Elephas maximus indicus: one gene and its partner. Each later gene encodes a partner of the first gene's protein in a complex. Links are inferred from orthologs where the notes say so. Each region holds a gene or a part of one and is shown in the gene's direction. Other genes may lie near its edges. The genes, in order: ALB and FCGRT.

Region 1 (11,785 bases):
ACTCTGGCATGCATGGGGTTGCCATGAGTTGGAGCCAACTCCACAGCAAATGTTTTTAAAATTTTGCGTATTTGTTTATCATGTATGTAATTGGCAGTGGGCTAGAACTTGGGAATACAAATAGTGAGCAAAACACCAGCATGGCTCTACTCTTACTGAGCCTACAAGCTAGGTGGAGGAAAGATATTATACATTAATCAAAAAATTCATGAAAATTATAGCTAAATATAATGTAATAATACAACTATACCATATAACTATAAAATGATATAGCTATAATGAATAAAAATTATAACTATGTTAAGTGTTCTAAAGAAGAAATAAATGATATTATGATTCAGTATAAACTGGGACTTGCTTTCCTGGGAAATTATGGTTGAACTGAGATCTTAGGGAGAATAGGAGTTAACTAGGTGAAAAGAAGTGATAAAACGTAGCCACCCTAAGTCCCTGTGGCTAAAGGAATTACGGTGTCTTCGAGGTGTTGAAAGAAGGCTATTGTTGCCACAGTGTCAGAGCTATGAGAAGCATCTTGTCAGATGAGTGCAGAAAGCAGGTAAAGGGTAATCATACAGGGTCAATTTAAAGATTTCTGTCTTTACCCCAAGAAAGATGGGTTGCCATAGACATGCATTAAGCAGGAGAGTGCTATGATATGTGTTTTGAAAAGATCGTTCTGGTTGCTTATGTGGAGGAGTCCAAAATGATGCAGGGAGACCAATCAGAGGCTGATGTGGTAAATCCAGGCAAGATATAATGCTGGTTTATACTATGTCGTTAGTGGTGGAGGTAGCTAGAAGTGATTGGATTGATCAATAGACCGATCTATCTATATCAAGATATATTTATATATATATATTTTTAATAGTGGTAAATAAATCAGAAAAACCAATCCCACTGCCATCGAGTCAATTCTGACTCACAGCGACTCTATAAGACAGAGTAGAACTGCCCCATAGAGTTTCCAAGGAGCGCCTGGTAGATTCAAACTGTTGACCTTTTGGTTAGCTGCCGTAGCTCTTAACCACTACGCTGCCAGGGTTTCCAGCGGTAAATATATGTGTAATAAAACATTTGCCATTTCAACATGCTTCACAAGTGAATTCAGAGACTTTGTGTCCATCGTGCAGCTATCACCATTATCTGTTTCCAAATTTTTCCATCACACTTAATGTAAGCTCAATGTCCCCTGAGCTATGAGTTTCCTTCTCCTCTCCTCCCCATCCCCTTGCACCTTCCCCTGGTAATCACTAATAAACTAAGGTCTGTATACACTTGCCTAATCTGGATAATTCATACAAGTGGAATCATACAATATTTGTCCTTTTTTGACTGATTTATTTCACTCAGCATGATGTTTTAAGGTTCATCCATGTTGTAGCTTATATCAGGGCTTCATTTCTCTTTCTGGCTGAGTAGTAGTCCATTGTACGTGTCTACCACACTTTGTTTATCCATTCATCTGTTAATGGACATTTAGACAGTTTCTACTTTTTGGCTATTGTGAATAGTGCTAAAATGAACATTGGTGTTTGGTTTCCTGCTTTCAATTCTTTTGGGTATATACCTAGAACTAAAATTGGATTGTATGGTAATTTTATGTTTAACTTTTTGAGGAACTGCCAGACTATTTTCCACAGTGGCTATACCATTTTACAGTCCCACAGCAATTAATAAGGTCTCCTATTTCTCCATATCTTCAGCATATAAAAATAAATCAAGCTTTTATACATAAGCAGCGAGTAATCTAAAAAGGAAATTAAGGAGGCAATTACATTTACAATAGCATCTAAAAAAAAGAATAAAATACCTAGAAATAAATTTAACCAGGGAAGTGAAAAACGTGTACAGTGAAAACTAAAAAACATTACTGAGAGAAATTAAAGATCTAAATAAATGCGAGTGAGGGCAGTGGTGGTTCAGTGGTAGAATTTTCCCCTTCCATGTGAGAGGCCCAGGTCTGATTCCTGACCAATGCACCTCTTGTACAACCAACACCTGTCTGTCATTGTCGCTCTGATGCTGAACAAGTTTCAGCAGAGCTTCCAGACTAAGATCGGCTAGGAAGAAAGGCTGACAATCTCTTCCAAAAATCAGTCAATGAAAACCTTATGGATTACAGCAGTTTAATCTGCAACCGATCAAGAGGATGGCATAAGACTGGGCAAAGTTTTGTTCTGTTGTTCATGAGGCTGCCAGAGTTGGGGCTGACTTGACAGCAGCTAACAACAACAATAAATAAATGGAAGGACATTCTGTGCTCATGATTGGAAGACTTTATATTGTTAAGATTTCAATACTACCTAAAGAGATCTATAGATTAAATGCAATACTCATAAAAAATTCAACAGCCTTTTTTTTGAGAAATGGAAAAGAAGATACTTAAATTTATATGCAATTGCAAGGGGCCCTGAATAGCTAAAGCAATCGCGAAGAAGAACAAAGTGGGAGGGCTGACAGGTTCTGATTTCAAAACATATTATAAAGCTACAGTAATCCAAACAACCTGGTACTGGTATAATAAACATATAGACCAAGGAAGTAAAATTGAGATTCCAGAAATAAACCCATACATCTAGGATAGACTGATTTTCGACAAGGGGGGAAGAAGTCTTTTTAATAAATGGTACTGGGAAAACTGGAATTCCACATCCAAAAGAATGAAGCTGAATCCGTATCTCACATCACATACAAAAACTAATTCAAAATGAACCAAAGACCTAAATGTGAGAATTGAAACCATAAACATAAGGGTATTGCTTTAGGACCTAATTCTTAAAAATGGACTCCTGGATATGACACCAAAAGCAAGGACAACAAAAGACAAAATAGATAAATGGGACTTCAACAAAATTAAAAAGTTTTCTTCATCAAAGGACTTATCAACAAAGTGAAGAGACAATTTTCAGACTGGGAGAAAATTTTTGGAACCATACATCCAGTCGGACCCCGGTGGCGCGGTAGTTAAGCACTTCATTGCTAACCAAAAGGTTGGGAGTTCAAATCTACCAGCTGCTCCTTGGAAACCCTATGTGACAGTTCTACTCTGTCCTATAGGGTCACCATGAGTCAGAATTGACTTGACGGCAACTTTTTTTTTTTTAATCGAATAAGGATTTAATACTCAGAATATATAAAGAACTCCTACAACTTAACCACAAAAAGACAAACAACCCAATCAAAAAATGGGCAAAGGACTTGAATAGACATTTCACCAAATAAGAAATACAAATGGCCAATAAGCACATGAAAAGATGCTCAAAATCGCTAGCCACTAGGGAAATGCCAATCAAAACCAAGAGACAGCACTTCAAGACCATTTAAGATGGTTATTTCTTTAGAAATGGAAAACATCAAGATATATTTTGAAGTAAGAGTACATGGGACTTGCTGACAAGTTAGAAAGCCCTGGTTGCTATAAAGGGTTCACTACCAAGTGGAATCGACTTGACGGCAACTGGTTTGTTTCATTTACTAAGGTTTGGAAGGCAAGGAAGGGGCAGGGACTGATCTGCAGAAGAGAAATGGACAGCATATGGTAAGGAAGGTGAGGCAGAGGATGGATGGCCATACTATTTGTCATAAAAGGGAACCATGGGTGAAAGACATGATAATTTCTTTGAGGGAACCAGCCAATGGGAGCTGGCCAGCTGATTTGACCAGGGTGGTCATAGACATAGCAATTGCTAACCCACATGTTGGAGCATCTAGACAGCACTGGATGTAGGAAGAGAAGATTCATGTGCTGCAAGGCCTGGATGATGGTGAATATGAAAACTGCAGAAGCCTTAAATCAGAAGATGTCCATAGCTCCTTTTGGGTTAGTTTGGATATCTCTCAGGAACTGACTTATGGCAAAGGTAATGGTGGTGCTAGGTAGGGCAAAGGTAATGGTGGTGCTAGGTGATGAAGGATAGCAGAGGGAATAAAATCCATATTTGTTGTAGAATAGGAATGTAAAAATTGTTACAGACCAACTTCTTTGTTGTAATGTGGATGACCTAATCATATATATTTTTTTAATATAGAAGACTATGGAAGTTTTCTTTCAATACCTGGTTGATACATTCTTTTTATCCTCATCTGTGGATAGCAGGTAAGAGAAGGGTGAATTCAGACAGGGAAGAATTTGTGGATGGCCTCCAGAAACAGACTAATTGCAGTGCAGGGTCTCACTCTAAGTTGTCCAGTAATTTATAGAGATGAAACACCTCCCTAATCAGCAAGGCAGTAGGGTCTGACGAAGAATATGATCCAATGTAAAGGTCAATTTGTACGGAGTCTTGGTGAAAGCATTAAGAATTATGTTAAAGATTTATGAAGGGGGAAGGGCTACGACAAACCATGGTAACAGTTTCTCAATAACCTCTGACAGATTAAGAATGGGTATAATTTTTCTTAGGACCATACTCCTGGGAAATCTATAGGATTTGCCCCAGTCATATCCTGAGCCTGCCCTGGTTCTATATGCAAATCAGCAATGGCTTTTTGTTGTCGTTGTTTAAGCAAGAAAGTTTTGTCGAAAAAAGGACTGATTACCATAGCTCCCCAAGTGTCACGCACTTGAATGCACCTCAGTATCTAGCCAAAAAAAAAAGAAAAACCAAACCTGTTGCCGTTGAATCAATTCCAACTCATAGTGACTCTGTAGGACGGAATAGAACTGCCCCATTGGGTTTCCAAGGCTGTAATCTTTACGCAAGCAGGCCACCACATCTTTCTCCGCGGAACAGCTGGTGGATTCAAACCGCTGACATTTTGGTTAGCAGCTCAGCAATTTAACCAATGTGCAACCAGGGCTCCTGCAGCCAAGTGAGCACTCAACAAATATTTATTGAATGGATCAATTCAATAGACCCATCCAGAAATAAAAGAAGAGCACTCAGAATTATTGGGTTAAAACAAGAAAGTTAAACCCAGATTATGGAGACTCTTGGACTTTGAAAATCCCTGGGTGGTGCAAACTGTTTGTGCTTAATTACTAACGTAAAGGTTTGAACCCACCCAGTGGTGCCTAGGAAGAAAGGCCTGGTGATCCACTTCCATAAAAACTACACCCAAAAAAGACCTGTGGAACAGTTCTACTCTAACGTATGCGGTCAGCATGAGGAGATGACACGACTCAGTGACAGCTCACAACAGTAACGGGACCTTGAAAAGTAGTTTAGACTGAATGTGGTTGGGAATAGGGACTCACTGTTGAAAATGCTTTCAAAAGATTATAATGTTAACAGTTTGTACTTCTACTCTGTGCCTCAGGGATGATGACACATTCATTAAAAAAACAACAAAAATGCATAAAATTGAAAGGCTGAAATTTTTGTTTTCTTTAATTGAAAATCATTCATTTAAAGCAGACAGTATCCTTTTTAGATAATTTTATGGCACAACTATTAAGCTTTTATATTTTTAAAACACAAATAAATTTTTAGAATTATCTACTTTCTGTAGAATATTTAAAAGAAATTCCTGTTTGAGAATTTGAGTTGCACATCTTTACCAAAGGTCTTTATATATATATATATATACTTTTTAGAAATAGCTTCCTTTTGAAAACCAAACCAAACCAATCCAAACAAACGAAAAAATCCAAAGTTTTCTTCAATCAGGGTATTAAGGGTTCATGCTAAATTCAAAATACTAAAATCAACTATGACAATCTGTACTTTTTAATGCTTTCTGTGTTTTTTTGGTTGTTGTTGTTACAAAATAATCCATATACTGACCTAGGTGTCCTATCTGGAAAACTTGGTTGTTAACCTGTGAGTGTGAAATTTCACGTTCAAGTATGTTAGTTGACAGTAGTAAAGACTTAAAAATCATTTTCCTCCAAAGTGATTTGACGACGTTAATGAATACCTGGGATCACTTAAACATGGTCATTGGAGTAGTGTAAGTATTTTTAATTCATCTCAGCCCCTCACAATTTTTACTTATATTATACAAAAGCATAAAAAATTATAATAGTATTTCCCTCTTAAAATTCTGATTGTTCTTGTCCCAATGTGTCTTTATTATTTCAGGATTGTTAGTTCTGGGTCTTCTGTCCTTCTATGTTTTTTTTTTTACTTTCTCCTTCCCGCATACATATACATTATTCCTGTGCCCTGATGCACATTGTGACAATTTAGAGACACATATAAGAATTTTAGTGAGCCAGGAGAGATCAGACTAACAGGAAAAGGCTTGCCTTTGCATAGTTGAAAGGCTCTTTGTTGCCCTGGGCAGCATTTATCTAATTCTATACATTCCTGTGTTTAGAACATGAGAATACACGGTTGGAAGCTGTACAAAAACATGCCTTACACTGCCCAAGTCTCAGTGTGCTCAGAACCTAGCATAGTATTTATAGTATAGTAGAGAACCATATAGCTTGGAAGTAAAATCAACAGTCATTTACATATATGTAATTTATATACTATATGCTATAACATGTTATATGAATATAACTATTCTATTCTCATTTTCTCTAGCTCTCTCTTTCCTTTCTTCTTCCTTTCCTCTCTCCTTCCCTCCCTCCCTACTTTCCTTTTCTCCCTCCCTTCCCCTTTTCCTCTCCATTTCTCTATCTGTAGAGTTTGCTATCTAAAGTACATAGTAAAAAGAATTTACTGTACTTTTAAGAACATTATCTTTAACGTATTTTCATATGTGTAATTATTAGTTTTATCAGACTTAGAAGAAATGTATGTTTCTTGGAAGCAAAGATGGCAAGGCTTCAGCTCCCTTACTTTGTGCATGTCATCAAGAAAGACCAATCTCTAGAAAAGGACATCATGTTTGGTATAGAGTTAGCAAAAACGAGAAAAAGTCTCAATGCGATGGATTGACCCATTAGCCTCAACAATAGGCTCAGGCATATCAAAAATCATGAAAATGGTGGCACAGGACCAAGCAACATTGCCTCCTCTTTTATATAACGTCACCACAAGCCGGAGCAGACTAAAAAGCAATGGCTAAAAAGCAACTAACAACAACAATTATTAGTTTTAGGATACCTTTAGGTTCCTGAAATACAAACCAAAATGCAAAAGTTTAGTGACCAAAAATAGAATATAATGACTATGTATATATACACAATTGTTTTAGCTTCCCAAGGCTGACATAACAAAATAAAAGTCAGTGATTTTAAAGAAGAGAAATTTGTTGGCTTACAGTTTTGGAGTCTAGGAATCCAGATTCAAGGAGTCAGCCGGGCCATGCTTTCTCTGTTTCCACTCTAGGGGAAAATCCTTCCTTGTTTTTCCAGCTTCTGGTAGCCTCAAGTGTCCTTGGTTTTCCTGGAGTTGTAGATACAACGTGTCTTCCCTCTGTGTGATTCTATTTCCGGGTCTGTTCTCTCCTTTACAAAACAGTACTTAGAAAAGATCAGGACCCACCCTACTCTGGTATGACCTCCTAAAAAAAAAAAAAAAAAACTGATAAGGTCTTCAGAAAAAGAATCTGCTTTCAAAGAAGGTCACATTTACAGGTACAGGGGTTAAGATTTCAATATATCTTTAGGGGGACACAATTCAATCCATAAAAAAAAAAAAATGTAATATGACGTGTATTCAGAAAAAAAAAACAAAGCCTAGCAACACTTAAACTTCTTAGTAAATCATTTTGGGGAGCTCTGGAGAGCACTTCAAAATGATAGGCAGTAATCTGGAAGAACTCACATTGAGACCACAAGAGGCCTGTGCAACTCCAATTGGAGAGACAGATCACACACAGGAAAACACAACGAAAAGAAAGCAGACAGTTGTTTTAAATATGGGCCTAAGTCAAAATTCATAAAGAAAGAAGCTTTGATTTTAGGTATTGATCTCCACTTGAACTGTTTTTTGAAGGGGTAACACTGTGTATTATATTGCAGGATGTGAGGCAGCAGGGCTTTATTCATTATTCAGGGTGGTCGATAACTCTCCTAACCAATGCTGGAAAGGTCAGCTGGCTATATATGATAATTTATTCTAATATATAACAAATCAGATATTTTAAATCAATGGAGGATTGAAAAAAATCTTGTCAAAAAAGTAAAGATTAAAATATATTTATTGGCCTACATACAATTTGAAACAGTTTATAGAATATAAAAGAGCACATGTGACTATTTTAAATAAAAAGCAATTAACTGGGAACATATTAATCTCCATATCTATATCATATAAAAAGTTCACATAAAGTGATAAGCTAAATAACAAATTCTCAAAAAAAATGAAGAGACCAGAATGCTTCCAGAATTAGTACTGCTTAGTACATATTTTCATCATGACTCATGGCAACCCTATAGGACAGAGTAGAACTGCCCCGTAGAGTGTCCAAGGACCATCTGGTGGATTTGAACTGCCGACCCTTTGATTAGCAGCCGTAGCAGTTACCACTTCGACGGCACTGGGTTTGGTTTTTTGGTTTTTAATACATATTTTATTATTTAATTTATATTATTATTCTATTATTTATATTATTATTAGATATAAAGTTATAATTTTATTTATTTGTATTTGTATATCATATTTTATATTTCAGATATGAAAATATTAATAATGACACAAGGAAAATTTTTCAATTTCGGTAGTAATTGAAAATACAATTTAAAATAACACCATAGTATAATTATTTTATTATTATTAATGTAGCAAAAATTTCAGAAAAGTTAAAATGGCTAACGGTGAGATTATGATGAAATTGTTATATTTTTCCGGTGTTGGTGTAAATTGCCCAAATGAGTTTGTGAAGTTATTTGGCAGTGAATATTTCTCCTTTTGATTCTCTAATCCTTCTCACACAAATTTATTCTTGTGAAAAATTCCAAAAAGGAAAAAAATGATATGCATTATGATTTCATAGAGTGGGGGAGTGAAAAATATATATGACCAATGAAAGGGAATTGCTTAAATAAATTATGGTGCTGTAACTCAGTGAAAGAAGTCTGGTGGTGCAACAGATAAGCGCTCAGGCTGCTAACTGAAAGGTTGGACGTTCGACCAGGTAACCTACTTCCATGAAGGTTATAGCAAAGAAAACCCTATGGAGCAGTTCTACTCTGTCACATGGGGTCTCTATGAGTTGGAATTGACTTGATGGCACCCAACAACAACTCAGTGAAATACTATGCTGCCATTTTTAGGAGATTGAGGTACATGGAGGATAATAGTGAGGTGTTTCACAATAACTGAGAATTAAGAAAAAAAAATTTTTTTTTTTTGTAAAAGTGATGCTGTAAAATCAAAATATAGTGAATCAGGGCAGAAAAGATAGAAAAGCTCCCAGACCAAAAGTATGTATCTGTAACCAGAATGAATTTATTGATACATTTAAAGAAAGAATGCCTAAATTGAGGGTAAGACTGATCAGCAGTGGAAACAAACAACCAAGAAAAGGAGTCCTGAAGACAAAAACAGGTGTGCCTATCCAGCACTGACTAGGACCTCATCTGATCTTTCTTAGAAGTGATTGACGCTATTATGGAGCCAGGCTTTCAAATTACACTAGGGTTCCCTTTGTTCATAGGCTACACTAATCATGCAGCCTCCCTGCGATTAGACTTCCCAAAGTGATAGTTACGGCAAAGCAAACACGGGCGATAGACTTGATAGTCACATAGTTCATCCTAAACTAATAAGTAGCTGTTTTAATTTCGTCATATGTCAGTCTCTTTGAGATGGGTGAGCATGACTTAACATCATGGAATTCAACCAATTCTGGACTAGAGAGCAAATCAGGGGTCAAGCCTGTGAGGATGAGGGAACAATGAAGAATTTACCAAGGTAGATGTCACCTGTGAACATGACTGGTTACCTAGCCTTCCACAAGTAATAGTCTTGGTCTACATATTAAGATGATAATTATAAATCCATGCAGCATGGAGAAAAACATTTTTGATACAATGTTCAGTGAAAGATAAAGCACAAAATTTTGTCCATCACGAGTGCAACAATTTAAAATATACATAAATATGGACACAATAGTCATGGAACAAGGGTAAAGAAACAGGGACTATGATAAAGTGATGAGCATGTCAGTAATATTTCTTTGTCTTTCATTGCCATTTTGTTTGGAAACCTTAGAAAAACCAGGAGGAAGAATAAAGGCAAACTCTGCATTGCATGGATATAAAATGTTTCAATAATCATATCTAATCATATAAATTGGAAACCCTGGTGGCATAGTGGTTAAGTGCTACGGCTGCTAACCAAAGGGTCAGCAGTTCAAATCTGCCAGGCGCTCCTTGGAAACTCTGTGGGACAGCTCTACTCTGTCCTATAGGGTCGCTATGAGTCAGAATCAACTTGATGGCACTGGGTTTGTTTTTTTTGTTGTTTAATCATATAAATTAATATAAATAATAGACTATCTAATAATAATATAAAGTAAATAATACAAAACATATATTAAGCAAATACTAATTTTGGAAGCATTTTCACCTCCAACTGACCCATGATTCATTATGTCCAATACATGGTAACAGAGAACACTCAAATTCAAAATGTAGGTGCAATAGCTACCTAACTATATACCTCATTCCAAAAAGAGTATTTTCTGAATATGTGGCTTTCCAATCCTCAGATAACTGGAAACATATTGAGCATTAAAAGTCATCTTCCAGGAAACAACTGAAATGCCCATCAACAGATGAATGGATAAACAAAATTTGAATATATATATTGATGTTAGGTGCCATCAAGTCAATTTCAACTCATAGAGACCCTATGCACAACAGAATGAAATGCTCCCTGGTCCTATGCCATCCTCACAATCCTTGCTACATTTGAGCCTGTTGTTGCAGCCAGTGTCAGTCCATCTCATTAAGGGTCTTCCTCTTTTTGCTGACCGTCTGGAATATTACTCAGGTATAAAGAGAGACAAAGTCCTGATGCATGCCACAACTTGGGTGAAGCTTGAAAACATTATGCTGAGTGAAATGAGTCAGTAACAAAAAGACAAATACTACGTGATCTCACGTGACATAAGTAAATATGTAGAAATCAAAGATTATTAGTGGCTACCAGTGCTAGAAGGGAGTAGGAAGGGGAAATTTTTGCATAGTAGGCATTGAATTTGTATTAATGGTGGTGGCATAATTTGAAAAAGGTCAGCAATAATGGTTGCACAACAATAATATAATCAATGTCCCTGAATTACACATGTAGAAATTGTTGAATGTTTTATTGTGTATATTTTCGCTATAATTAAAAATACAACTAGAGAGAAAAAATTCACCATCTGAACATATCGTTGTTGTTATTAGTGACACTTGAGTCAATTCCGACTCATGGTGACCCCATATGTGACGAGTGAAACTGTTCCACAGGGTTTTCAAGTCTGTGACCTTTTGGAAATGGATTGCCAGCCCTGTCTTCTGAGGCACCTCTGGGTGGGTTCAAACCGCCAATCTTTCAGCCAATAGTTTCAACCAGTGGTTGAGCCCTTAACCATTTGGGTCACTCAGGGACTACTCCCAAATATATTAAAAAACCCAAACCCACTGTCCTCAAGTTGATTCCAACTCATAGCAACCCTATAGGACAGAGTAGAACTGCCCCACAGAGTTTCTAATGCTGTAAATCTTTATGGAAGCTGACTGCCACGTCTTTCTCCCATGGAATGGCTGGTGGGTTCGAACCATCAACCTTTCAGTTAGCAGCTGAACACTTTAACCACTGTGCCACCAGAATTCCTTTCTAAACACATTAAAAAAAATAATAAAAATCCAAACCAAACGGATTGCTGTTAAGTGGATTTCAACTCATAGCAAACCTATAGGATAGAGTAGAACTGCCCCACAGGGTTTCCAAGGAGC
Region 2 (12,636 bases), on another chromosome or scaffold:
AGCGTCTGATCTGTAAAATCTATATGATACTGCAAAAACTCAACTACAAAAAGACGAATAACCCAATTAAAAAATGGGCAAAGGATATGAACAGACACGTCACTAAAGAAGACATTCAGGTAGCTAACAGATACATGAGGAAATGCTCACGATTATTAGCCATTAGAGAAATGAAAATCAAAACTAAAATGAGATTCCATCTCACTCCAACAAGATTGGCATTAATCCAAAAAACACAAAATAATAAATGTTGGAGAGATTGTGGAGAGACTGGAACACTTCTACACTGCTGGTGGGAATGTAAAATGGTACAACCACTTTGGAAATCGATTTGGTGCTTCCTTAAAAAGCTAGAAATAGAACTTGCGTATGATCCAGCAATCCCACTCCTTGCAATATATCCTAGAGAAATAAGAGCCTTTACACGAACAGATATATGCACAGCCATATTCATTGCAGCACTGTTTACAATAGCAAAAAGATGGAAGCAACCAAGGTGTCCATCAATGGATGAATGGATAAATAAATTACGGTATATTCACACAATGGAATACTACGCATCAATAAAGAACAATGATGAATCCGTGAAACATTTCATAATGTGGAGGAATCTGGAAGGCATTATGCTGAGTGAAATCACTCAGTTGCAAAAGGACAAATATTTTATGAGACCACTATTATAAGAACTCGAAAAATAGTTTATGGACTGGACAATGGGATAGAAAATGATGCTGGTGAAGAATGAGCTTCTTGGATCAAGTAGACACATGGGACTATGTTGGCATCTCCTGTCTGGAGGTGGGGTGAGAGGGCAGAGAGGGTCAGAAGCTGGCGGAGTGGACACGAAAAGAGAAAGTGGAGGGAAGGAGTGTGCTGTCTCATTAGGGGGAGAGCAATTAGAAGTATATATCAAGGTGTATATAAATTTTTGTATGAGAGGCTGACCTGATTTGTAAACTTTCACTTAAAGCACAATAAAAATTTTAAAAAAAGAAAAATAGTTTAAACAGAGAAGAAAATATTCTTTGATGGTTACGAGAGTGTGGAGGGAGGGAGAGAGAGGGATTGTCACTAATTAGATAGTAGACAAGAACTATTTTAGGTGAAGGGAAAGACAACACACAATACAGGAGAGGTCAGCACAACTGGACTAAACCAAAAACAAAGAAGTTTCCTGAATAAACTGAATGCTTCGAAGGCCAGCATAGCAGGGGTGGGAGTGTGGGGAACATGGCTTCAGGGGACATCTATGTCAACTGGCATAATAAAATCTATTAAGAAAATATTCTGCATCCCACTTTGGAGAGTGGTGTCTGGAGTCTTAAACGCTAGCTAGCAGCCATCTAAGATGCATCTATTTGTCTCAACCCACCTGGACCAAAGGAGAATGAAGAACACCAAAGATAAAAGGTAATTGTGAGCCCATGAGACAGAAAGGACCACATAAACCAAAGACTACAGTAGCCTGAGACCAAAGAACTAGATGGTGCCCAGCTACAACTAATGACTGGCCTGAGGGGGAACACCAGAGAGAAACCTTGAGGGAGTAGGAGAACAGTGAGATGCAGACCCCAAATTCTCGTAAGAAGACCAGACTTAATGGTGTGACTGAGACTAGAAGGACCCTGGATATCATGGTCCCCAAACTTTCTGTTAGCCCAGGACAGGAACCATGTCCAAAGCCAACTCTTCAGACAGGGGTTGGATTGGACTATGGGATAGAAAATGATAATGGTGAGGAGTGAGCTGCTTGGATCAAGTAGACACATGAGACTATGTTGGCATCTCCTGTCTGGATGGGAGATGAGAGGACAGAGGGGTCAGAAGCTGGCAGAATGGACACGAAAATAGAGTGGAGGAAAGGAGTGTGCTGTCTCATTAGGGGGAGAGCAATTAGGAGTGTATAGCAAGGTGTATATATAAGTTTTTGTATGAGAAACTGACTTGATTTGTAAACTTTCACTTAAAGCACAGTAAAAATTAAAAAAAAAAAAACTCTATGGACCACAATGTTCCCACTCACAGCTGATCATGGGGATGGCACAGGGCTGGGCAGCGTTTTGTTCTGTTGTGCACGGGGTCACCATGATTCAGGGGCTGGCTCAACGACAGCTGACAACAACAGGGCAGACCCCTAAGAGGCCTCGTGACCCAACTGACCATTCCCCATCTAAGCAGCGAACCCTGAGGCCATTAGAACAGAAAGGAGAGGCGATCAGAAAGGGCATCTGGGTATGGGCAGATGTCTATTGTTGTTGTTGTTAGGTGCCCTCGAGGCAGTTCCAACTCATAGACACCCTATGTACAAAAGAGCTAAACACTGCCCAGTCCTGCGCCATCGTCACAATTGTTGCTCTTTCTGAGCTCATTGTTGTAGCCACTGTGTCAATCCATCTTGTTGAGGGTCTTCTTGTCTTTAACCGGCCCTCTATCAAGCATGATGTCCTTCTCCAGGGACTGGTCCCTCCTGATAACATGTCCAAAGTATGTGAGACAAAGTTTCACCATCCTTGCTCCTAAGGAGCATCCTGGCTGTACTTCTCGCAAGACAGATTTGTTCTTTCTTCTGGAAGTCCATAGTATATTCAGCATTCTTCACCAACACCATAATTCAAAGGTATCAGTTCTTCTTTGGTCTTCTTTATTCATTGTCCAGCTTTCATATACACAGGAGGCAACTGAAAATACCATGGTTTGGGTCAGGCTCACCTTAGTCCTCAAGCTGACATCTTTGTTTTTTCACCCTTTAAAGAGGTCTTTTGCAGCAGATTTGCCCAATGCAATACAATGCAGATGTCTATAACATGCAGAAAAACAGCCCTCAAATATGTCCACGACCTAATCCCCCGGAACTTATAAATGAATATATTACCTCACTTGGTGTTATGTATTGAACTCTGGCCCCCGGAAAATATGTGTTGTCAATCCTAATCCCTACCCCTGTGGTTATTGGAGTGTCGGTGGCACCGTGGCTAAACACTCAGCTGCTAAGGGCAAGGTTGGTGGTTTGAACCCACCAGCCGCTCAGCAGGAGAAAGATCTGGCAGTCTGCTCCCATAAAGCTTTACAGCCTCGGAAACCCTATGGGGCACTTCTACACTGTCCTATAGGGTCGCTGTGAGTCGGAGTCTACTTGACAGCAATGGGTTTGGTTTTTTGGTATACCTGTGGTTATAATCCCATTTGTTATGTTAATGAACAGTATTACTGTCAGGTATGTCTTACGCACTGCAGTGAATTATTTAATAGGGCCCTTCCAGCCATAGTCTTAGTAACTCCCACTAAACTGGGTGGGACTATGCAAATGAGGTATATGAACCCTAACGAGGGGATTGGTCAAATTTGCCATCCCACTAGGCTTAAAGGGAGACATTGAGAGAGAGTAGGAGATGTAACATGGAAGACAGACAGGGACAGCTGTGACAACTGAGATGCCAAGAAGCAGCTGCAGAGAAACAATGGCAGCGGAGGCAGGAGGCTGGCAGGAGAGAGCGCAGTAGGCTTCCTGGCCCAGGGAGCAAGAAAGCTGAGCACCTTTGAGCTCAGTCCTTGGCCTGGACTCTGCTCTGCTCAGAGAAATGTGACAAAGCTATTTTTGCTCTGCTGATAAGTGCCTTGAGGCACCCCACTCCACCTGAAAGCCTGGGGGCTTGGTGGCAGGAGCTCAAGGGCTCCTTCACTCAAGTGACCTCATTTGCAGGTCCAGGGCAATAGAGAAGAATCCTAGAAAATGTTTTGACAGGGTGTAAAAATGGTCTGGTGGAGGTGTCTGGCCTCCTCCAGCTTCACAGGGAGGAAGGAGAATCCAGATCAACAGCTGAAGGGTGATTGCTATGAGGCAGAGGTCAGACATACCTCCTCTCTTGGCTATCTTTACTAATTCTGACACCATCTGTCCCTCACATGACACTCTACTTCTCTGCTGGGTTTGATAATTCGTTAAAATGTCCACAAAGAACTCAGACCACACTCACAGTTATGTGGTTTATTAGAGAAGCAACAGGTTACAATTCAGGCTCAGGAACACTCAGGGTACAATTTTTCCATCAGGACAGCCTCTTCCCAGCCATGCCTGCAGGCACACCTCTCTCTGGCCCCTTGGCCTCTCAGCCCCTTTGCTGGCCTCTGCCCTGCTTGGCAAGTGTTACAAAACTTCTAGCTCTGCTGATAAGTGCCCCAAGGCACCCCACTCCACCAGTAAGCCTTGGCCCGAAGGTGCTCACCTCTAGCTCCACGGGTTGGCAAACCTAGCTCCACCAAGTGCCCAGAGGGACCCTACTCTGCCAGCAAGCCTTCTGCCTGAAGGTATTCAGTTTTCTTGCTCCGGGCTGGGAAGGCCACCGCTGTCTCCTGTCAGTCTCCTGCCTCTGCTGCTGTTGTTTTCTGCCGCAGCTTCTGCCTTCAGTGTTACATTCTCTCTCTCTCTCTCTCTGTTTCCTGGTTCCAGGAGTTTCTCAGCACAGGGATTCCGGATTCTTTGGGACACGGCTCCACTCCTGGCTCTTCCTTCTTGGTGGTGGTAAGATCCTCCCTTCCCGCCACTGGGATGGCTCATTTTAAGCCTAGCAGGATGACGAAAGTGAACAATCTCCTTATTAGGGTTCCATATACCTTATTTGCATGGTCTCAGTCAGTCATTGTGTGTGAGTGACAAAGACCGTGGCTAGAAGGACCATATTAAGTAATGCATTGCACTGTACAGGGCCCTGGGACCATTGGCGCTAGACCCAGAGTATCTAAAGATGACATCCAGAGCCCCAGAGCAGGACCAAGAGGCCTTCTGCAGCAAGGTCTCAGGTCCTTCAGGGTGGGGTAGGGGGTCATGACAATAAGTTCCTAGGAGAAGGTAGAGGTTTTGTACCAGAGGGCCTGTCTAATTGTTGCTTTCTATATATCTGTCTAGCTCCATTTTTTTGTCTTTCTGTCTGACTGCTTGTCTATGTATCTGTTTTACCTACGTATCTATCTTTGTCTTTCTACTTGTCTATCTGAGTATCTACTTTGTCTATATTTCTGTTTTTCTATCATCTGTCTACCTACCTACCTACCTATCTCTCTGTCTGTCTTTCCTGGGGAGGCTCTGAATAGGGCAGGGCCTGATGAGAGGCAGTGATAGAGGGAACCCAGGAGTGGGCTTGGGAAGCCTTACAATAGAAACGGGGGCAATTAGAACAGCTTGGTAGCAGGGCAAAGGTCGGATTGAGGGCAGTTTATGGCAATCCTGAAGCAGGTCACAGTAATGGCTCTACTGGGATTCAGGACTCAATTAGCAGCATCCAGGACGTGGGGTGGCCGACTCCGCAGGATGTTAGCATAGACTCTTTTTTTTTTTTGGCTTTAACAAACAGAAATTAATTCTCTCACAGTTTAGGAGGCTAGAAGTTCGAATTCAGGGCTCCAGTTCTAGGGGAAGGCTTTATCTCTCTATTGGCTGTGGGGAAAGTGTCTTGTCATCAGTCTTCCCCTGATCTAGGAATCCTGGGTCCAAAGGACATGCTCCACTTCTGGTGTTTCTTTCTTGGTGGCATAGCATAGACTCGAAGGCCATTATGGCTGGGTCTCAAGATACTATCACAGAACCCAAGGGGGCATGGGGATGGGCACCAGAGATTATCAAATGAGCCCCAGGGGCACGGGGTGAGGAGGAACCCTCCTAACCACGGTCCCACAGGGCCCCAAGCCCCAGGGACATGGGTTGTACAGCTGTTACTCCAGCAGAGCCAGGAGGTCCTCAGGGGACCTCCAGGGGGCAGTGTAGAGGCATGGATGGCACAGTGGAGTCTTGAGGCCATTTTAATGGGCCAGGAGGCATCATAACTGGACGATATGTACCTTATACCAGGGCTTAAGGGGGCCTTCAGAGAAGTTCTGGGGACTCTTAAAGTGGGACATAATAGCTCTGGGGACATTTTAGCAGGATCTCAGAATATGTATGAAGGGGTATTTCAGGCCTTTGAGTATCATAGTGGGGTCCACAGTCATTACAGGGAGATGCCATAAATGTTCTAGCAGACCTCTGGGAACATAAGCTCTAAGACTGGGTCATTATAGCCGGCCCCCAGGGTGATATTATTCAAATTTCAAGGAAAGATATCGCAGGGTCCTGGGGCTGTTGTAACAGGACATTTGGGCTTTATTCCAAGGAGTATTATAGTAGCGTCCTTGGGAACTTTCCACCAGTTTGTCAGAGTGTAATGGCTTATGTGTTGCTGTGATGCAGGAAGCTATGCCACCAGTATTTCAAACACCAGCAGGGTCACCCATGGTGGGCAGGTTTCGGCAGAGCTTCCAGACTAAGACAGACTAGGAAGAAAGGCCTGGTGACCTACTTCTGAAATTCAGCCAATGAAAATCTTATGGATCACAGAACATTGTCCAACTCACTTGCTTTGGACACATAATCAGGAATGCTCTCTCAGTGAAGGAGGATATCATGTTTGGTGAAGTAGAGGGCCAAGGGGTGGGGGGAGACCCTTGGCGAGATGGATTGGAACAATAGCCACGACATGCCAGTGATGGACTCAAACATGCCAGTGACTGTGAGGATGGTGCAGGACCGGGCAAAGTTTCATTCTGTTATACATAAGGTCACAGTGAATAGGAGTTGACCTGACATCAGCTATCTATCTATAATCCATCTGTCTGTCTGTCTACCATTTATCTATCTATCCGCCTAAGGGACTTTAAAGTGGGACCTCACGGGCTGCTGTAAATAGTTCTCTGGAGGTATTATACCAGGGTTCCAAGGAACGTAGAAGGGACAGCTAGGGTCATGGCAGATCCCTCAGGGTATCTTAGGGAAGAGCTGACGATGCTGTAATAGGACTCCTGGGGCACTAAGGCAGGATCCTGCAGACTCATTGGTGGTGGATCCTAGGGGTGAATCTCAGTGGGTGTTCTAGAAGGACCCAGGAAGAGTAATAAAAATGACTGGCGGTTTCTGAAAAAGTTAAGCATAGAATTACAATATGATCCAGTAATTCCATTCCTAGGTCTGTACCCCAAAAAATTGAAAACAAGTGTTCAAACAAAACACTTGTACACAAATGTTCATAGCAACAGACGAATGAGATAAACAAAATGTGGTCTAGCCAACAAAACGAAATAATAATATTCAGCCACAAAGAGAAATAAAGTTCTGATACATGCTATGGCAGGAATGAACCTTGAAAACCTGACGCTAAGTGAAAGAAGCCAGACACAAAAGTGATTCCAATTATATGAAATGTCCAGAAGAGGCAAATCTTTAGAGACAGGAAGTAGATTAGTGGTTGCAAGGGGCTGGGAGGAGGAGGAATAAGGAGAGACGGTTTAATGGATATAGGTAGTGCACAACATACAGGTATTTAAGTTACGATGAATAGCACTTACAACTGTCCTTTTTTTTTTTTTGTACATCTTATTGTTGGTAACAGGTTGCAGGTGTAACTTGCTGATGTTATCATTCTCAGACGTTCGTTCGCAGATCTTTAATTTTATGATTTTACTGTTCAAAACATTGCCGGATTTATAAAGACACTGATAAGAAAAGGCAATAATAATGAAAACTTAAAAAAAAAAAAAAGAGATATTCAACTTATGTCAGAACCCACTTATCAGAGTCACAGAAAGAGAACCCCGCCGTAAGTCGGGGGCTACCTGTATAGGGTTTCCTTTTGGCGTGATGGAACAGAAACGTTCTGAAACTACTAGTGGTAGTGGGTGCACAGCATTGTGAATGAGCTAAATGTCACTAATGGTAAATCTTATGTGTATTTTACCACCATTAAAAAAATGAGTGGAAGCATTATAGCAAGAGCAGGGGATGTGGTGGGTGACCGGGAGGGGGTTCTACCGCGGGATAAGAGGGTGTTGGGGTTGTGTGGTTATGCGGCAATGTCAAAAGGGCACTGACTGACACAGCAAGAGCAATTCAGGGGAACGCTTCCGGGAATAGCTCTAAGGGGGAAATAGGCATTTCGAGAATTTTCTTTATGGCAGAAGCTTGCGAAGGCCATGATGGGGGGTGCACAAGGAGGTAAGAAGGGGCCCACAGAGGCCTACACATCTTGGACTCTAACCGTGTTCAGTTCGGATCCCACTGGATTCGCTGGGTGGCTGACACCCTCAGAACAAAAAACAGGGAGCAACAGAGAAAGAAACCACAACAAAAAAAGACAAAAGTTTCAAGAGAGGCAGAGAAAAACACCAGCGGAGAGGCTGGGCGGGCGGACTGGGGTGTGCCCTGCAGCTGGGGGGCGGGGTTGGATATTCTTGGGGTTAGGGAACAGTCTCCGGACAGGATGTAAGGGAGGAACTGGGGTCTCCAGTCACGGGAATCTGCTGGGATGCAGGCTGGGAGCGAACGTAAGCAGGGCTGGGGGCCCAGACTCCCGGGTCTGAGGGGGGAGGGGCCTGGGGGCCAAGACTCTCGGGCCAGGGGGAGGAGGGGCTGGAGACCCGGACTCCGGGGTCTGAGAGAGGAGGGGCTGGAGACCCGGACTCTGGGGTCTGAGGGAGGAGGGTGCCGGGGGGTCCAGACTCTGGGGTCTGAGGGAGGAGGGGGCTGGGGGTCTGGACTGCCGGGTCTGAGAGAGGAGGAGGCTGGGGGTCTGGACTGCCGGGTCTGAGAGAGGAGGGGGCTGGGGGTCTGGACTGCAGGGTCTGAGGGAAGAGGGTGCATGGACTCCTGGGTCTGAGAGAGGAAGGAGCCCGTGGCCTGTACTGCTGGGTCTGAGGGAAGAGGGCCGGGCCCAGCTCTGCAAGAGGAATCTCAGCTTATCCAGGCTCTGTAATTAATTAACTAAAACGGATCAAATTAAGGGGTGAAAGTTCAGGGAGGAGGAGGAAATTTTTTTTTTTTTTTTTAATAAGAATCTGTCGCCCTCCTGACCGAGCCCCCCGACCCGGCCCCAGCCGCCCGGGTCCTGGGCCGCCCCGCGGGTCCAGGGGAGGAAGAGGAAGGGCTGGCTAGGTCACCCGCCTCCCTCCGCTAGGTCTCAGGCTCAGGATGAGGGTCGCCCGACCACGGCCCTGGGGACTCCGTGTGCTGCTGCTTCTCCTGCCTGGGACGCTGGGCGCAGGTGAGGGGCCTTGGGGAGGGCGGCTGCGGATAGACGTGAAGCCCAGCCAGAGAAATCTGGGTTTTCACCAGAAACCAGTATGCTCTTCTCCCCTGCTTTAAACGTTGTTTATCACTTTCTTCTCCCGCGGCCTCTGTGACTGGGAGCCACCTCTCACTTTTCTCAGGGTTTCTGTCCCCATTTCCCTGGGTCTCAGCACCCCTCTTTCTCTGGGTCTCTGTGCCCCTCTCTCTGGGTCTCTATCCCCACCTCTCCCTGGGTCTCTGTCCCTCTTGCTCTCTGGGCCTCTGTCCCTCTCTTTCTGGGTCCTTGTCCTCTTCCATCTGGGTCTCTTCCTCCCTCGCTTTCTGAGTCTCCTCCCCCCTCTCTGAGTCTCTTTCCCTCTCTGGGTCACTGTCCCCCCTCTCCCTGGGTCTGTCTTCCTCTCTCTCTGGGTCCCTGTCCTCTTCTTTTGGGTCTCTGTTCCCCTCTCTCTGGGGTCTCTGTCCCTCTTTCTGGGTCTCTGTCCCTCTCTCTCTGGGTCCTTGTCTGCCTGTTTCTGGGTCTCTGTCCCCCTGTCTCTGGGTCCCTGTCCTCTTCTTTCTGGGTTTCTGTACCCCCTCTCTCCCTGGGTCTCTGTCCCTCTCTCTCTCTGGGTCTCTGTCCCCCACCTCTGGGTCTCTCTCCCTCTCTCTCTAGGTCACTATCGCCCCTCTCTCTGAGTTCTGTCCCACTCTCTCTCTGGGCCCTTGTCCTCTTCTCTCTGGGTCTCTTCTCTCCTCAATCTCTGAGTCTCTGACCCCCCCCCCCGGGTCTTGTCCATCTCTCTCTCTCTGGGTCTCTATCCTCCTCTCACGGGTCTGTTTCCCACTCTCTCTGGGTCTCTGTTCCCTCTCTGTCTCTGGGTCACTGTCCCCCGCCTCTGAGTCTATCTCTTTCTTTCTGGATCTCTGTGCCTCTCTCTCGATCTCTGTTCCACCTTCTCCCTGGGTCCCTGTCCTCTTCTCTGAGTTTCTGTTTCCCTCTCTCTGGGTCTCTGACCCTCTCTCTCTGGGTCTCAGTTCCCCCCTCTCTGTGAGTCTCTGTTCCCCTGTCTCTGAGTCTCTGTCCCACTCTCAGTTTAGGCCCCTACCCCACCTCTGCGTGCTCTCTTCATCTCTGTCTCTCTCCGGCAGACAGCCATCTCTCCCTCCTGTACCACCTCACTGCTGTATCCTCCCCTACCCCGGGGACTCCTGCATTCTGGGTATCGGGCTGGCTGGGCCCACAGCAATACCTGAGCTACAGTAACCTGCGGGCCGAGGCCGAGCCATGCGGGGCGTGGGTCTGGGAAAACCAGGTGCCCTGGTACTGGGAGAAAGAGACAACTGACCTGAGGAACAAGGAGAAGCTCTTTCTTGAAGCTCTCAAAGTCGTGGGAGGAAAAGGTAAGGCCTGGATTCCTGGGTCTCAGTGAGGAAGGGGCTGGGGGCCTGGACTCCGGGTCCGAGGGAGGAAGGGGCTGGGGGCCTGGACACTTAGGTCTGAGGGAGGAGGGGGCTGGGGGACCTGGATTCCTGGGTCTGGGTTAGAGAGGTTGGGGGCTTGGACGCGTGGGCCCCACTCACCTGCATGTGGCCCCCCAGATCCCCTGACCCTGCAGGGTCTCCTGGGCTGTGAGTTGGGACCAGGCAACATCTCAGTGCCCACGGCCAAGTTTGCCCTGAACGGTGAGGAGTTCATGACCTTCAATCCCAAGGCGGGCAACTGGAGTGGGGACTGGCCTGAGGCCGAAGCCATCGGCAACCTCTGGAAGAAAGAGGCTGAGGTCGTCAACCAAGAGAGGGCCTTCCTGCTCAGCTCCTGTCCTCAGCGGCTGCTGGGCCACCTGGAGTTGGGGCGAGGGAACCTTGAGTGGAAGGGTAAGGAGCTCCTGAATCACTCTTGCTTCTTCCATCCTCTCTCCTGACCATGGCCCTGGGCTCCTGCCGGGCCTCCTAGCCTCCCTGCTCACAGCCCTCTCAAGGCTCCCACCCGGCCCCCAGCACAGAATTCCAGCTCCTACCTTTAATGACCTCATCAGACCCTTTCGGCTTCACTTGTCTTCCTTCACCTGCCCATCAGAGTCTACACTCCAGCTCCACCCCCAGTTGGCTGTGCCCCATCTAAGCAAAGCCCTTCCTCTGAGTGTCTGCTCATGCGATTCCCCTGGCCTGGAACACCCTTCCTGCCTCTCTCCACGTGTTCCAACCCTGCTTAGTTTTCAAGGCACAGGCTGAATATCACCCACTTTGAGAAGCCCTCCCCCAATGTAGCTGTTTCCTTCCCAGAGGCCCCCAGGCCTCCATTCATCCAACAAACGTTGGCTGAGTGAGAAGAACTGACTACCTGATGACATGAAGGAATTGTAATTAAGTATTTGTAGGTGTAAGGTTCTTGGGTGGTACAAAAAACAGCAACACCTAACCAAAAGGTTGGTAGTCGGAACCAACCCAGTGGTGCTACAGAAGGAGAGCCTGGTGATCTGCTTCCTTAAAGAATAAACCAAACCAAACCCATTGCCGCTGAGTCTATTCCAACTCATAGTGACCCCATAGGGCAGGGTACAACTGCTCCACAGGATTTTCTAGGCTATAATCTTTACAGAAGCAGAATACCATATCTTTCTCCTGTGGAGCGGCTGGAGTGGCTGCTGGTTTGAACCACCAACCTTTCAGTTAGCAGCCAGGTGCTTAACCGCTGTGCCATCAGGGCTCTTGCAAAGATTACAGCCAAGAAAACCCTATGGACAGACACCCTTTTAACTCAGACCTGAAGTCTCTCCCAAAGTTCACCATTCAGCCAAAGATTAGACAGGTCTATAAAACAAATAGTTTAACACACGTGAGGAATGTGCTTCTTAGTTCAATCAAGTATATGAGACCAAATGGGTAACACTTGCCCAAAAGCAAAGATGAGAAAGCAGGGAAGAGACATGAAAACAGGACAAATGGAAATGGGGAACCCGGGGTGGAGAGGGAGAGAGTGTTGACCCATTGTGGGGATTGCAACCAATGTTACAAAACAGTTTGCTTATAAATCGTTGAATGAGAAACTAATTTAGTCTGTAAACTTTCACATAAAGCACACTCACACAAAAAGAAAACCCAGTGGAGCAGTTCTACTCTGTAACACGTGGGGTCACCATGAGTCAGAATCAACAGCAATGGGTCATTAGTAGGTATGATAATAGTTTTGTGGTATTAATTTTAAGTGCCCTTACCAACTAGAGAAGTCCCTGACTGATCCTAACCAAAAGGTTAGGTGCCTCAGAAGAAAGGCCTGGCAGTCTACATCCAAAAAATCAGCCATTGAAAACCCTATGGAGCACAGTTCTACTCTGACACACATGGGGTCTCTATGAGGCAGAATCGATTCAACAGCAACTGGTTTACCTGACAGAGTTACATTCTGAAGTATTTATAGATGAAATACTCTGTGTCTGGGATTTACTGAGGAAACCCTGTTGGCGTACTGGTTAAGAGCTACAGCTGCTAACCCAAAGGTTTGCAGTTCAAATCCACCAGGCGCTCCTTGGAAACCCTATGGTGCAGTTCTACTCTGTCCAATAGGGTCG

What was found.
Region 2: the proteins of ALB (region 1) and FCGRT are in contact, whole or in part, in a crystal structure (PDB 6QIO), measured with the Homo sapiens proteins. The link is inferred for Elephas maximus indicus from reciprocal best matches to the Homo sapiens genes ALB and FCGRT. Residues at the interface, in NP_000468.1 of Homo sapiens: Arg105, Glu106, Thr107, Tyr108, Gly109, Glu110, Asp113, Asn133, Asn135, Gln441, Ser443, Pro445, Thr446, Glu449, Leu484, Leu487, His488, Thr491, Pro492, Val493, Tyr521, Val522, Pro523, Lys524, Thr530, Phe531, Thr532, Phe533, His534, Asp536; in NP_001129491.1 of Homo sapiens: Arg65, Glu67, Glu69, Gly72, Ala73, Val75, Trp76, Gln79, Val80, Ser81, Trp82, Trp84, Glu85, Lys86, Thr89, Arg92, Asn172, Lys173, Leu175, Thr176, Leu179, Phe180, His184, Glu188, Arg192, Gly195, Asn196, Trp199, Lys200, Glu201.

The regions. Positions count from the first base shown.
Region 1 is NC_064823.1:84,360,977-84,372,761, reverse strand, and holds the start of ALB (albumin), read left to right. Parts: upstream 1-5,668; 5' UTR 5,669-5,788; coding exon 5,789-5,892; intron 5,893-11,785. UniProt on the Homo sapiens protein: Binds water, Ca(2+), Na(+), K(+), fatty acids, hormones, bilirubin and drugs. Its main function is the regulation of the colloidal osmotic pressure of blood. Major zinc transporter in plasma, typically binds about 80% of all plasma zinc.
Region 2 is NC_064829.1:99,977,649-99,990,284, forward strand, and holds the start of FCGRT (IgG receptor FcRn large subunit p51), read left to right. Parts: upstream 1-7,917; 5' UTR 7,918-7,995; coding exon 7,996-8,017; intron 8,018-8,239; exon of another isoform or gene 8,240-8,327; coding exon of another isoform or gene 8,328-8,346; intron 8,347-8,975; coding exon 8,976-9,062; intron 9,063-10,216; coding exon 10,217-10,468; intron 10,469-10,666; coding exon 10,667-10,942; intron 10,943-12,636. UniProt on the Homo sapiens protein: Cell surface receptor that transfers passive humoral immunity from the mother to the newborn. Binds to the Fc region of monomeric immunoglobulin gamma and mediates its selective uptake from milk.